Struthio camelus: one gene and its partner. The protein of the gene in region 2 purifies or fractionates together with the protein of the main gene of each other region. This does not show direct contact. Links are inferred from orthologs where the notes say so. Each region holds a gene or a part of one and is shown on either strand. Other genes may lie near its edges.

What was found.
Region 1: the proteins of RPP40 (region 2) and RPP25 purify together in Homo sapiens (affinity purification with mass spectrometry; 3 studies listed by BioGRID and IntAct, counting the BioPlex papers as one, with this or other methods). This does not show direct contact. The link is inferred for Struthio camelus from reciprocal best matches to the Homo sapiens genes RPP40 and RPP25.

Annotation. Positions count from the first base shown.
Region 1 is NC_090953.1:23,324,448-23,331,464, forward strand, and holds RPP25 (ribonuclease P protein subunit p25), read left to right. Parts: upstream 1-4,492; 5' UTR 4,493-4,850; coding exon 4,851-5,501; 3' UTR 5,502-6,514; downstream 6,515-7,017. UniProt on the Homo sapiens protein: Component of ribonuclease P, a ribonucleoprotein complex that generates mature tRNA molecules by cleaving their 5'-ends. Also a component of the MRP ribonuclease complex, which cleaves pre-rRNA sequences.
Region 2 is NC_090943.1:103,784,169-103,792,197, forward strand, and holds the start of RPP40 (ribonuclease P protein subunit p40), read left to right. Parts: upstream 1-4,995; 5' UTR 4,996-5,154; coding exon 5,155-5,280; exon of another isoform or gene 5,281-5,793; intron 5,794-5,936; exon of another isoform or gene 5,937-6,023; intron 6,024-7,005; coding exon 7,006-7,150; intron 7,151-8,029. UniProt on the Homo sapiens protein: Component of ribonuclease P, a ribonucleoprotein complex that generates mature tRNA molecules by cleaving their 5'-ends. Also a component of the MRP ribonuclease complex, which cleaves pre-rRNA sequences.

The sequences.
Region 1 (7,017 bases), on a different chromosome or scaffold from region 2:
CAGCTCCCCTGCAGCCTCCAGAGCTCCCCATCCACCTGGTACAACTGAACATCTTCCAGAGGGTGATGGCTTGCAAAGCTCCTCCTCTGCTGGGGGCCCCGCTCCCATGACCAGCCATCATTGAACTCCACCTGCACCCATGTCCCCTCCTCCTCCCACCATGATGCCAGGGGAGGTGGCAGGTGCCTGGGAGCCTTCAGGGACACAAGAGAGCAACACTCTGCCCTGCAGCACCACAAACCCTCAGGTACACAGGCTCAGAGGGAAGCAGAGAAGCCAGTTTCTCTGCGAGAGGTTGAGTGAGAGCTACACAGGAGCAAAGTGACCTTCTCCAGGGGCAGAAGAGCCTTGTCACAGGCAGCACGTACCTGGAGGACCAGTTTCTTTTTGGATAGACCAGGGTTGGGCGGTGTTGATGGTGGGAGAGGGCATTTAGGCTGGGATATTTGCTTTAGAAATAAAAGTCCTCTTAGGAGACATCCACCCAGGGGAATCAGGGTGACCAGCACCTTCCACAGGAGGAAGGGGGCAGGGTGGACAAGCAGCTGGCCTCAAGAGGCCCTCCTAGGCATATTTCCTCCATGTACATTTTACACATACCCACTAGCATTTCCATTCCTTTCCCAACCTCTGCCTGCTTCTCTCTTTACAGTTTGCAATCCTCCAGGGCTTCCCTTCCAGAGCAAATGGGAAGCTCTTCCTTCTCAGGGAGGGCTTCTCAAAGGGGCTGGTCACATCCACAGCCACTGTGGGGTGGCCCATGGGATCCAGAGGACTGCTGGGCCTTTGCTGCTCCCTTTGGGTGCTCTGCCCAGTCAGGCTGGCTTGCTCCTTCTTCCAGCCTGGAGCTGGAGTCACTCTGCTGGCCCCCATTGCTCCCACACATGGGAGCTCAAACCCAAGGTCTCTCCCTTTTGGATACTTGCCTGTAATTTGAGGTGTCCAAGAAAGGGTCATTTCCACTGGGGTCCCCAGGGAAGGCTAGTGCCAGCTCTGCCAGGGCACAAGCAAGGGCCAGCAAACACACAACCAGCAGGGCAGGGGCTCCACCAGCCAGGGCCTGGCCCAACCCCACAGGCCCAAGCAGGGCAAACCCAGGAGTCCAGACCAGCAGCAAGCTCAGGCTGAGGAGGCAGAGCCAAAGGCCAGCCTAGGAAGTCAGCCCACAGCTTGGGGTCTGGACCAGCCGCATCCCCAGCCAGGCACAGCTGTGGCCAGGCTGAGGAGCAACACCCCTACAATAGAGTTGATGGCCATAGACTGAACTTAAATGGGCACTGAGGGTGGGCAGGTGGAGGCCCCAGGTGATGCTGGTCAGGGCCATTAAGAAATTTTAGTGCCCTCAGGGCCCTGACAGGTCCCTCTTAAGCTGCTCTTGTCCCTATGCCAGGAAGCCCGGCTCCTGCCCAGCCCCATGGGGAGGGTGCCATCACTGAGGGCTTTCTCTCCAGCACAGAAGGACTGACCTCCACTAGGCCCTGTGATGGACACCAGATTTGCTGACTTGTAGGCTCACTCTGTTGATCCCGGCCCTGTTTGCCTTGCATGTGGTTTCCACGCACGGACCCCCAGGGGTGCACAGCCCCTCGGCAGCACAGGGAGGCGCCCCGGGCCCCGCGTCCTCTCGGCAGACGTGTTGGAGGGCCGTTCCTCCTTGTATTTCTTAGACCGTGGTTGAACGCTGTGGTGACCCCAGCTGCAGGTCTCCTAGTCCTGGGCCAAAGCCCATAGCAGCTGCATAACCCAAAGGGGCAACCTGATACACGTTTCCTTTGCCGGGTAGCACGGGCTGGGATTTGGGGTCATTTCGGTGGGTTACCTGGGGCAAGCGCCGCGCTGAAGGAGCAGGCGGGAGAAAGCCGCCGCGCAGCAAGCCAGCGTTGCTCGCCGCTATTGCTAGCGATTCGGGGACGAGCAGGATCCTTGGCCGCGCCGCCGCCGCCTGCGGGAGCGCGGACGGAAGGACGGGGCTCTGCGCTCCCAGGCCCCGGCTAGGCTCAGGGCAGGCGGCTCGGCCGCCGCGTGCAACGTGATGACCGCCTGAGACCTGAGCCGGGGCGATGTGACGCAGAGATGGACGGCGACTTTCCTTGTATCGGATGCTTCGACTTTCCGAACGACTCCCGCACCTCGCATGAAAGAAAATATAGAGAGGGCAGGCGGAGGACAGGGGCTCGGGTTACGGCACGCTCCTCTCTGCCTCCCTACTCTCCGTTATGAATTTGTTTCCATTTCCCCCCCCGCCGGTCTCGGCCTGAGCCACCGTCACGTCTAGCTCTGCACCCGCTCGCGCTCGCCTTCCCTCCGTGCCCCCGAAGCGCCGCCGGCTCCCGCAGCCTCGGCCGCTGGCCTCGCGCCCGCCCCGACAGCGGCGGATGCTCAGGGAAGACAGACAGACAGGCAGGCAGGCAGGCAGCACGCGGGGCGTAGTTGCTTCGCTCCTCGCTTCTCCATCCCCGCTTTTACCATCTGCCTCTTCCGCATTTTAATCGACTCCCCGCTCTCTCCTGCCCCGGCGTGTCCCCCCCGCAGCCCCGCTCTGCTCCCCTCTCCCGCTCCGCTGCTCTTTATGCATGAGCTCATTGCAGCTCGGAATAACCCCTCCGCTCTGCTGTCCTCCAACAAACAAGCTGACAGGGTAATGAATGGCTTCAGATGGTAATTAGCGGCGGAGCTGCTAATAATGAAATGCATTTGCATTTTAAGCGCTGCCGAGGAACAGCAAGACCCTGCCGCTGCTGCCCCCCCGCCGCGGGGGGAGCGCGCCCTCCGAACCCCTGCTCGCGATGCGGAAACGCTTTAGCGTGATCGCACCTCGTCTCGGAGGCTGCAAACGAGCCGAGTTTGTTAAGCAGCAATTGGGGGGGGGTGAAGCTGCCCGGGATGCAGCATCCGACCGGCGTGGCGCGTCCCGGCACCACGCTGCGCCCAAAACGCGGACCGCCGGCGGCAGGAGTTGGTCCCGGCCCAGGGAGCCTTGGGTGGGCTGGCTCAGCGCCAGGGACTCATCCTGCTGCAAGCCCCAGCCCCGGCTGCGTTCCAGCCTCCGAGGCGCGCTGCATCCGCGCCCGAGCTCTGCGTCCGCCTCGAGCAGCCCAGCGCGCCGGACTCCCGCAAGACGCGTGGCTTTTGTGCCGGAGCAATGTGTTTCTGGAGCTATTTCATCGCTTATGGAGATTTTTTTAATTTCCATGCCTATAAAGTTTATGTGTAAAGTTAACGAGAGCTGCTTTGCCGGTCCTTCGCTCTGAGCCGAGATGCTCTGTGAATGGTTGCCAAAATCCTGCCCATTTATTTTCCTAGTCTTTTAGCCTGAAGATGCATCTCTTAAAGGCAGCAGTTTCCATGAGAGGCTTAATCCATGGCAGCCTGCCGGAGAACGGAGCCGAGCGGCTTATGCAAGGATGTCACAAATATTCATCACATGTAAGGGGAAAAAAACAACATTGTGTTTCCCGGTGCGAGCGAGCGGTTCGCGTTGGAAACGTAGCGCCTAGGCAGGCTCACTGCCGCAGAGCGCCGGGCGGGACTTAGCGGGCGCTCCAAGCCTCCATCCGCCCCCGACGCCGGGTGTGAGCTTGGGCCAACGGCGTCACCTTCCCTGCCTCGGTTTCCCCTGTCTGCGCCAAAGGGATCCAGTCTCCGGCCTCTTTGGGTGCAGCAGCCTTCTCCCTGCAGACCTCGCCGCTAGGCTCTGCGCCCGCCCCGAACGTGGGTCCCTGCGGTGTCCCGAAGCCCCAGCGCTTGGACCCCTGGGTTAGGCAGGTTGTTTGGGGCCCGCAGAGACGTCCTGGCCGGGAAGGGGACCGGCCACGGCCTGCCGTCCCGCAGGTTTCACCTACGTTGGCATCAGGTCGAGTGATTTATTTACGTATTTTTCAAGCCCTGCCAGGGTGAAAACAATCCAGGGGCCTCCAGAGGCCGATAAGATTTGAGTGCAAGTCAATACGCGGGATGTCTTTCCAGTGTGCGATGATCCGCCGGGGGGAGAGGAGGGGACAGGCACGCCGGGAGGTGGCAAGGGCAGCCAAAGGGCCAGCCTCGGCCAGGGACACGGCCTCTTCCCGGGGAGCGGTTCAGGCTCAGCTCTGCGCCGGGCAGGCACGTTTTGGGGGCTCGTCGCTCCCTGGGCGCCCCCAGGGCGGCTTTGCCTGGCAGGCGGCCGCGGGCCGATCCCGAAGGCTGCCCAGCGCCCCGTCCCTGCGTTATCCACGCCGCCCCGTCGCAGCCAGCGCCGAGACGGCCGGCGCGGGGGGGGCGAAGCGACCAGGTTCGCTTTAAGGGGCAGGACTCGGGCGGCGCTGGGAAGCCGAGGGCGAGCGCTGGGCTCTGCCTTCCGCCTTCGCCGGGGCTCGCCGGGCTCCCCGCCGTCGCCCGCTCGCCGGCCCTGGGCGCTGGGGAGCCTCCGCCGGGCGCGGGGCTGGGAGGCTGAGCGAGGGGGGGGGGGAGGAGGAGGAGGAGGAGGGGAGGAAGGGGAGGGAGAGGGGGAGGATCTGCTAATTACACACAACGGCTCTGGGGGCTGCTGAAGTCCAGAATGAAGCAAAGAGCAGCAGAAGCGAGCGCTGCAGCGGGAGCGCAGGAGCCCAGGCATCGCCCAGCGCCGCCGCGAGGACGCAGGGGACACCCCGGGCACCCAGCAGCTCCGGCTCCCCGCAGGACAGCCTCCGGCACCGCCGCCGCGCCAGCTGCTAGCTCCTCCGCAGCCAGCCAAGGACAGCGGTAGGGGCTGGTGGTCCCGGGGGTGCCGCGTCAAACTCGACCTCCTCCGGGCGGGCGGCGGAGGGACCCGCGTCGTGGTGGCCGGGGGCTAGGTGCCCCCTCGGATCCGCGCTCCCCGCCGGCGAGGGATGGCTGCCGGAGGAGGGGGAGCCAAGCCCGTCGCCCAGTCCAGGATGGAGAACTTCCGAAAGGTCAGGACGTCGGAGGAGGAGAGCCCCTTGCCCTTCCCCGACCTGCCGCCCGGCGTGGTGGAGATGAAAGTGAAGGAGGGCAGCAAGATCAGGAACCTGATGGGCTTCGCCATGGCCCAGATGGAGCTGAAGGGCAGCCGGCAGATCGTCTTCAGCGGCTGCGGCAGGGCGGTCACCAAGACCATCACCTGCGTGGAGATCATGAAGAGGAAGCTGGGAGGCCTTCACCAGGTCACCAAGGTACGCTACAAAACCCTGCTGGAGGTGTGGGAGAACAAGGACCCGCTGCCCGGCAGCCCGGCGCAGAACCTCACCGTCCACAAGAACGTGCCCTCCATCTGCATCCTGCTCTCCCGGGACCCCCTGGATCCCACCCAGACGGGCTACCAGCCCCCGGAGCCCGGCGCGGGGCCGCGGGCGGAGGAGAGCCAGGCCGGGGCAGAGGCGCCCAGCTCGTCCGCCAAGGGGCTGAAGAGACCCCCGGCGCCTCCCCGCGAGGAGCTGGCGAGCAAGAAGGTGCAGGTAGAGGTCCCCGACGGCCCCCGGGGCGCCGGCACCGTGGACCTCCAGGCGGGCCACCACCACTGACTCCCCTGGCGCCCCTCGGCCCGGCGAGGGTGCTCGCCCCGCGGGGGCTGCCGCCGGGGCCGGGGGGAAGAGCAGCCAGCGCCCGCGTCTTGGACCCTCCGCGGGGCGCGGGAGCAGGCTGGGGCCGGCGGCGGGTGCTGGTCCCGGCCGGCGGCGGGTGCCGCGGGCCGCCGCAGCCCCTCTGCCCCGCCGGCTCTCCGTTGCACCACCGCCGGCCGGAACGGGGGGGGCCGCGGCGGGTCGGGGCGCGGGACAACCCTCCGGTCCCAAATTTGTTCTCCCCGCCACCACCCTCTGTCTCCAGCACCTCGGGTGTTTCCCCCTGCCCGGCGGGACGGCACCCCGGCCCCCCGCGCAGAGGAAAGCGACGGGGAGGGAGGGGTGGGAACCGGTTAGGGTGGCCTTGTGCTGACCACACGAGCAACGAGTTGCTCGGGTCTCAGCGCTGAGCTCCCCGGCATGCCAGGGGACGGGGCCGATTTGCAGGCTGCCGGCGGGGAACGCGGAGCCCGGGCAGGGCTCTCGCCAGCTCTCCGGGACGGCGCCGGCCCCGCCGCAGGAGCGGGAGCAGCCTTCGCCTTTCGGAGAGGTGCTCCCGCGGGTCCGGCGCCCGCGTGTCGTTGATGCGCGCTGAGATGTCTCCGACGTCAGGCGCGATGGCTTCGCTCAGAGCCCCTTGGAGCAACGCCTTCGTTATCCGAACGGCTTCAGTTACGCCCGGAGACGAGCTGCCAGGTTTATTAAAGCCGGGCTCAGCGCCTCGCGGCTCTGGGATTCGTCCCGAGTACGGCTCGCAAACGAGCAGCCGCCTCGGCTCGGTCCGGGCTCGCGTGGTTTTCGGTCGTCGTTTTTATTCTGCCCTCTGCTCCGAAGCGCCTCGAGCGGGTCCGCGCCGCCCCGGGCGTTTTATCTCCCGGAGGGCTGTTCGCGAAGGCACCCGGCTCCGCTCGGCTCAGGGCTGCGCCAGGCGAAGGCGAGGAGCAGGAGCAGGAGGAGGAGGAGGAGGAGGAGGAGGAGGAGGAGGAGGAGGAGGAAGCCGGGCGTTTTGTTTCGGGCGTTTTGTTTCGCCATGACCTTGTTATCTCCCCGAGCAGACAGCTGCTCCTCCGGCCCGAGGCCTGTGCTTATCTGCCCTGCCACAGATTGATTCCTTTCACTTATCTGCCGCCGTGTAATTGAATATTAATTCCCAGTTGTTGTTGTTTTATTTGCTTTTTAAGCCTTTTGTTTCGTTTTGTTTTCCCAGGCAGGGACAAAGCCGGGGGAGCGGGGGGGAAGTCACGAGACGGGGAAGCTTCCCCTAGCTTGGGAGTTGGTTTTCAGGGTCAGTGTCCTGCTCCGTTAAAAATCCAGTCTTCACTTCTCGGGGGAATACGAGTCCAGCCTCCCTCCCCTCCCAGATCTCTGCTCGGAAGATGCCAAAAGATGTGGTTTTGGGGACAGGGACGGCAGGGGCCGCGGGGCTGTAACTGTGCAGAGCTCCTCTGCTCTTTTTGGCGTTTTAAGTCTCTTTGTT
Region 2 (8,029 bases):
TTGCAATCATCAAACATAGAAACTAGTACACAATAATAGGTAAAAAAAAAAATTAATGATTTATTGGTGGGAATTGTGAATCCTCTCCCTTCAAGCAGACTGAAAACTTGATTTACTGAAACAGGAAGAAATTACTCTGCTCTGATCTTAACAGAAGAAGCATCCCAGTTTGAATACTTTTAAAATTTCAGCACAGACTTTCCTTTAAAAGGAAAGGAGGAAATGTTTCTCTTTGCTTTGGATTCTGCATTTTCATGAAGGTGCACTAAAAGAACAGCATGCCCTGCTGGAATCCCAGGATCAGTACTAACATTACTGGAAATACAATGCTCTTAAGGACATATCCAAGGCAATGTTTGCAGGGGCAGGTAATATCTATTAATAGATGAATTGATGTAAGTGGAAAAATTATGTACAGGTTGAGAACAAAACTGCTCTGAGTTTAATTTTGATCATGTTAATTGGTTAGACGACTTGAGGAAAAAAAGGTGGCTGTTATCTACAGAGCTAGGGGAGGAGGATTTAGCAATGCAAAAGGCAGCAGTGTTTCCCTGTTTTGTTATTGGACAAGGAAACAGACACATATTTATTGCCTATCCAGGGTTTTATTGCCTATCCAGGGTTTAGCTGGATGGAGGCTGTGTGGAAACATTCACTATGACATTTCCTGAAAAAAGAGCGAGCAACCAGGGGAACATGGCCACAGTTCATTCCCTTCTGCAGAAAGCGCAAAGAGAGAAATATACTCCAACTCTTCCCCGTATGCTGTGGAATACCTTGCCCCAAGGGGCATCTTGTAAGAATGCACGTGCCTTGCCACTGCCATAATGTGAACAACAATGAGATATCTGGTTGGGTGGAGAGAGCAATTGCATGAAGATTTCCCATCACCATGCAATGATAAACCAAAATCTAATCCTTAGAAGGCATGTAAAGACTCTCCCTAAATATAGATCAAAAACACTTCCACTTCCCAGAAGATTGTGAGATGAATTACCCATCTAATTAATTGTCCCACTTTAGTGTCACTAGAGTGAGTGAGTGAGTGAGTGAGTGAGTGTGAGGTTTACCAGATTACAGGGTTTTTTTTGTTTAATTCTAAAAGAAACAGATTTTTTTGTTTTTAATAGTATTTAAACCAAAACCAGCAACTCAGTCCATGGTTAGCATTCAATGTTCTTCCTGGCTTGAAAAGCTTCTTTGGGGAGCAGCTTGGCAGAAGATTTGTTTGTAATCCCCTAGAAAAACAAGTCTGAGTGGGATCCCTTTTACATTCACCACTGCTCTGAACATTTGGACCTGGGTGTGTAAAAACAGCATACCAAGCTAACTATCCACAGCTTCACCATCTTTCCACTTTCCTCAATGAAAAAAGCAGTCAACACTGATCAAGTAAAATGCCATTTTTCAGTTAGTCTTAACATTACAACCTAACAGTGAGTCTTATACACTTTATTAATTTCAGATAAACATGGCATCAGGGAGATCTGTTTGTTTCTGTTTTATAAAGTACTGATTACAATGGCCAAGGCTAAAAGATTTAGACAACTTCTTTTTTTTTGTAATCAACAATATTTAAAAAGAAAAAATAGTGACTAGAAACAAAAAAATTGGGATGGAGTGTAAAATCATAAACCAAATTCAACATGCATGTGACAAACGCTTTTAAGATCTGATTGTACACAACTGTAAGTATCTTATCATGCAAAATTTTTATCACAGAAGAAGCACCAGAATGAATGTTAGGATTGCTTTTCAATAGTGAAACAATGCATGAAAGAAATAGTTGGCTTTTGCAACAAGAAATAGTCTCTGTAATGTGAAGATCAGGCTTTTCTTTCCAAATTCAGTCATTTTAAACAAAACCTGAATAAAATTTTTACTAGTTCCAGGAAATATTTTAGAGATCCTACCTTACTGTAAGCTATTACTACAGGTTGCCTCAAGGCATTTCTTTCCTCTTGACTACAGCCTGTAACTCTCTTCAAACATGTAGAGACTGAATTGCTGTAAAACTGCATTACCCAGTCTCGGGTTTGAAATTCCTAGGGAAACGGTGATAGCTTTACAGGGACTGAGTCCTTAAATTATTTAAAGTTTGAAATAACCTTTTTTTTTTTTAACAACATACAGAAACCTTACACCTAATTACTCACAAAACTGTAATAATCATTATGAAAATATCAGCATTTATGAACAATCAGCTTACATATATGTAGCCCACTGAATGGACTACTGGGTAAAACCTTCCCCTTTTTTTTTAATGTAGATCACAGTCTCCAGGGAGTTCTCTAAAACAGACACACTGTACAGTAGGATACACAACATATAAGAGAAAGAGGAAGTTAATTTTGATTATCTGATAGGTGAAGCAAACTGCCTGAACAGTGACATGAATCCTTCACCGAGCTGCAGTGAACTGTACTCTTGCCAAGATCCCTGAAATGCTATGCTGAATATGTAACTGTGCCTCTTGACTGTTACCCCTTCCCCAGCATATTTTTTTCCATATTTCTCCTCCTATTTATTTTTATCCCCAGCAGGAAGTATAAATTGTATCAGCATAAAGAAGGTCACAAAAAACAAACGAATAAAATCCACCAACAACAGCCCCACAATTCCACAGGCTGCCTTGAGTATGGATGAATTTCCTCTTTGGATCTCTGGGCTTATTGATCAGGGACTTGAACTTTTCACCCCTTTAGTAGAACAGAGGTCTTCTGATCATCACAGTGTAATGCTTGTCTGCTCACAGAGGTTTCAGCTTTTGGGTACAACAAATGACATTAATCAAGTAGTGTTTTTCCCATTAATTTTGTCATGCTTTAAATTAGAAGGCTACTGTGATTACATATGCAAGAGCCATTTCTGATTTATAATAATCCAATTATTCCAATTTGCAGAGGCAATGTAAGTGCAGAATTCAGACTTTCTCTATAAATGTTAAGCAGCCAGTGACCTCAAGATATGTACTTTAGTCTCACAAGTCAGAGGATTCAGCCACTGAGTCCAGAGCAACACTATCTTAATGATATTTTAGTAAAAAAGCAATTGGGAAGCACATACTCAGAAACGAGCGGGTCTGAATCAGCCTAGTAAGCCAGAAACACTGAACTAGTAACTTCTCAGTAATATCTTTCCTTCCATTAGGCAACTATGGTTCTGTAACACGGAGCTTGCGAAGACCAGCCTTTTCACACTGGTAGCTCTTTATAGTTATTTAGTCGACATCATAGAGACCAAAACGTTGTCAGAACACCAGAAAAGTGCGGCGTCTGCCAGAAGTGGAGCCTAGACACATGCAACACGGCAGCTTGAGCCACAACATAAATTCATCAAACTGGAAATGCATATCTAGAAAACATAAATGCAATATATTTACCCCACTCAAACAGCCAATAACTGATCAGGTAATGAACATGGGTACTTGAATTGTGGCATCAAACCACAGCAATTTGTAACCAGTGAATTAGTAAAATCATTGGAATTTGACGATTCATATCTGCATAACACTGTAGCTGTTAACCAAATGACCTTACCACAGTCTATACCTTAAAACCAATTTAGCAACTAAAACAACCTTTTTCTTTTTTACATTCAATCACCTAGAGGACCTGAGTAATCAAACTCACGTACTCCTGAACTTTAACATCAGACATAAAATCTAGAAATGACAGGTCAAGATCTTCACAGACTGAGCTTGTGATTGCTGGAACCACTGCTGTCAAACTAGTCTAAAAACTGAAGTTCAGCATTACTAGCTTGATGGGTGTTTAGTGAACAGATCTTAGACACATTTTAAGTAAACTTAAATATAGCCTTTCACAGTGCATAGAAAGAGCACAATAAATACCAAAAAAGTTGTTAGGTACCATTTACAATGAAATGAGAGAAAATAAAGTTAGGGGACCACAGAGACAATAACTCAAGTAAGAGGGGATGATGAAATTTTGGGGTATTCTTTATACAAAATACACCATGTAGACAACGATCTGAGAGAGGATGCATTGCAGGCAGTGGTCCACTCCCACTTAAGCACAGTGTTTACTAAACTGAGTAATCCTACCTAGTGTGAGCTGAAGTAAGTAGAAGACTGTACAAGACAGAAGATCTTATTTTCATGATCTTGTAAAACTGCAGATGTTATTATAAATATACTCAGAGTTCTAACGGACCCAATTTTGTCATTATAATTCAGATATTTAGTATATCTCCACAGGGTCCTGATGGCCTCGCATAGCATGTTGATAATGGACTTTCTCACATGGCTCAAACACCTGTGCAGCTTCTTGGGTTTACATATTTTCTGTATTTGTTGAGCATAGAAGAATGGAGGTTGCCCACATGAAAGTAGGTCTGACATCTTGAAGGCTGCCCAACGCCACCAGGCATACCATGACATATTTCTAGCAGTCTCCTCCTTCCGACCAAGCGTCCGTGTCCCCTAAAAACATTCCCCAGCAGGAAACACACCTGCAGGGCCAACGCATCCCCTCCTGATGCCAACGGGGTCCGCTCGCAGCCTTTGGGACTCTGCAGTACCCAAGCTGGTGAGGGGAGCAACGAACAGGTGGGAGATAGGACACAGCTTTGCTGCTGAAGGTGCTGAGGGATAGAGGAGTCGGGGGCCGGTGTCCGGTCCTCCTCGACACCGAGAAGGACGCTCCTGCGTGCAGCTGCGAGCTGCCGGCCTGGGCGAGCCACGCGTCGGTCACCGCTCCCGCTGCCAGCCAGGTGGGCGCAGGCCGGGCCTCAGCCCACCTCCCGCAGGGCCAGGCCGCAGGGCGGCTATTTTTGAAACAAATCCCTTTGTTCGAAAAGCCAAAGCGTGTGAATTTCTGCAGCCGGACTCAGGCCGGGCTTTTTCGGACACCGCCGACCCCAACCCCGCACCCCGCACCCGCCTGCGGGCGTGTGCGACTGGACAGACCCCACCGCCGCCCCGCCGCGCCGCCCCGCCCTCTGCGGCTGCGCATGCGCGCACCTCCCGCCACCGCGGGGCCGACGCAGGCGGAAGTGACCTCCTGGCACAGCTCCTCCCCCCCCGCCCCGCCCGCGCTGCGCTCGTGTGCCTTTCGGGAGGCGGGTGACGTTGCGCGGGGCCGCTGCCCCATTGGCGGCTCTTCCCGCGGCGCGCGGGCCGCGCGGAGCAGGATGTCGCTCCCGCTGCGGCGGCTCCGCCAGGCGCCGCGGCACCTGCTGGTGTGCGAGAAGAGCCACGCGCGGCACGCGCGCTCGCGCCACGCGGCGCACGTGCGGGACCACGCCTACAACTGCCGCGTGAGTGCGCGCGCGCGCGCGCTCGCCCGTCCGGGGTGGACGGGGGGGACGGTTGTTAACGGTCGCTGCCCGTGTTAACCGTCGCGGGAGCGCGTCCGGCGGCCGTTAGTGGCTCTGGGGCGCGGGGAGGAGCCCGCGGGTGAGATGGCCGCGCTGGCGCATGGTGCCCGGTAGCCCCCTTTTACTATGGGCCTTGAACAGAGCGCGGCCAGCCCACGCGGGGCTGCTAACCCACGTAGTTTTCCTGTGGTCAAAAGGCTGAGCTGCTGGAGGGCCCTCTTCCCGAAACAGTCCCTCTCCCGCAGTGAAGCCAAAACAAGCCTTAGCCCGAGCGAAGTGCTCGTGGTTGGGGTTGGTTGGTTGGTCAGAAGTGCGAGGGTGAAGTGGTGGAAGAGGTGACAAAAGTTGTGTGGGGTGAGTGCCGCCGAGAAAGTAACGTGGGTGGCTGTACCCACGAGCGTGTCTCGTCAAAGCAGTGAGGGCTGTCGTGTTTCAGCTGAAGCGTGGCTTCAGGTAAAGGACCTTGAAAATCCCTTCTCCCGTGTTTTATGCGCTTCTCCCAACGTATTGTGTAGTGTCGTTATCAACAGCTGCTTCCTCATTTTAACAACGTAACGCTGCAGTGTCCAATGTTTGCCTGCTTACTGTTGCCTTAGACTGCTGCAAGTTTCAGTCAGATCCCATCTGTGTCCTTGCCTCAGCAATTTTTTGAGTAGCTAACTAAGAAGGTTGCTAATTCGGTGGTAAGTGGCTAATCTGTCAGTTGTTACTCCTCTTGTATGTATGTGTGTGCCAAAGGAGATGCGTACCCATTTTCTGTGAGCCGTTTTGTTTTGGAAAAACTTTTTTCTAGATAAGTGTTTTTAGGGGATGAGGGCGGGGGCTCTCCTGCTAGTGCATGCTTTTTGGGATGCTTGGTACCTGCCCAGGTAGTAAGTTTGTTTGCCATGGACTTAGAAAACCTCTTGATCAGTGAAACACTTACAGCAAAGGCTTTAAACACAGTAAATGGAAATGAATGGTAGGCAATTGGACTGAAAGACTGAGTGCTGAATTTAGTAAGAACAGCTAGATGTTCATCCCTTTTGAGAATTAGTTTCCTAGTTTAAATTAGCAACCTATTACTGAAATCTTAGCCTTAACTAAGCCTTAATCTTAGCCTTTCCTTTTAAAAAAGGAAAAAGACTTTACAATTTTTATGACTATTTTGGCAATCATAAGACCATCTTCAGGTTTTTGTCTGGTGATGTCTTAAATCTGCTGACTTCTGAAGTATTTCAGAGTAGAATGTATTTATTCAAAAAGAAGTTTAAATTCCACATTGATTTTAACTTTTTAATGGAGATTACATAAATGCCTAGCATACATTCCTAATTATAACTGCGTCATGCAACAAGGGCTGAAGGAAATATTCCAAGCTAACTTCATCATGACTTGAAACAAGATCTTCTGTCAAGTCATGCCGTGTAAAATTATCTCATTGTGTAACACATCAAATGCTATTGTATAGCATGTAAAATGCAAAATCCAAATAATTTATTGCTGTACATATGGAGACTTTGTGCAGATTGTTAAATTTTGAAGATAATAACTTAATTTTTTTTCCTTATCTCATTTTGATGTAACATACTGTTCTCTTCAAAAAGAGATTTTCTTTTATATGTCTCTGTTTTCCTCTAGAACAATTTTTGGACATTACTTACATTACAAATGTGTTCCTAATAGGTGTCTTTTTTGATCCCCGAATGTGGCATACTACCTGAAATGCTGAAAAGTACGATTGCAGATGTTGGAGAGTACTATCTGGTGAGGAATTTATTGCTTCATGAATTGGTCACTCATGAATTCATTGATACTTTTGTGAAGAAAGGTAAGGAAGTAATCAAAATATGAAGAATATACAATATTACTGTATTTATCATAACACAGTAAAATGCAGTAATTATTTATTCTGAGAAGTTTTTTAAAGGAATAGAAGAAGTACTAACGAAATTGTGTATGCATTTCTTTATCTGTTTTTTTTTCCTGCTTTCTGGTGTGTCAGCATTTATTTAAACCTGATGGGTCCTTCTGTGATTATTCTGTCCCCTACCTAGTGCCTCCCTACCTCCTCTTTTCTTTTTTTGGGGAAGGGGGGAATTTTGGAATTAGCTTGAGATCCTTCTTATGCAATTTCCTTGTCATGCATATTCTGTATTCCCTCAAAAACACCTTTCAGATGCACAATTTTTTTCCTCTCTCGTTAATGTTATAATTTATTGAGTTCCTACTGAAAAATACAGCATCTCTAGTTCCCATGAAGTCAGCTCTAACCTCATGTAGCCTGACCTCTTCATTTCCCCTATTGCGTCTTAATTCTGCAAGCCAGCTGTCAAGAGTGTTTCCATGTATCCTCTCAATCGTTTACCTTCTACCTCTCATCTTTATGTAGATTCCTGCAGAAATAAGCTCCCTTCTCTCCTGATTCTCTCATAATTCAGCACAAGCCTGTGTTCCACATCTGGCAAAGCCTGGGCTTCCCTTGCAAGAGTAAAAATAGCCTCGCTTTTGTTGCTAGTGGAGCTGTAGCGGGTCATCCTTGAAAAGGAAAAGTAAAGTGGATGTGAGGAAAGATGCAGCCTTTGTCCAGCCAACTTGCTTTTATTGCATACTCACAGCACACTGTCTTCATCTATCAGGCCGCACTTATTTAGCTCAAGATAAATGTTGCTCCCTTCAGATGACTGCCAGAGAGAAAAAAAGCTTTAAA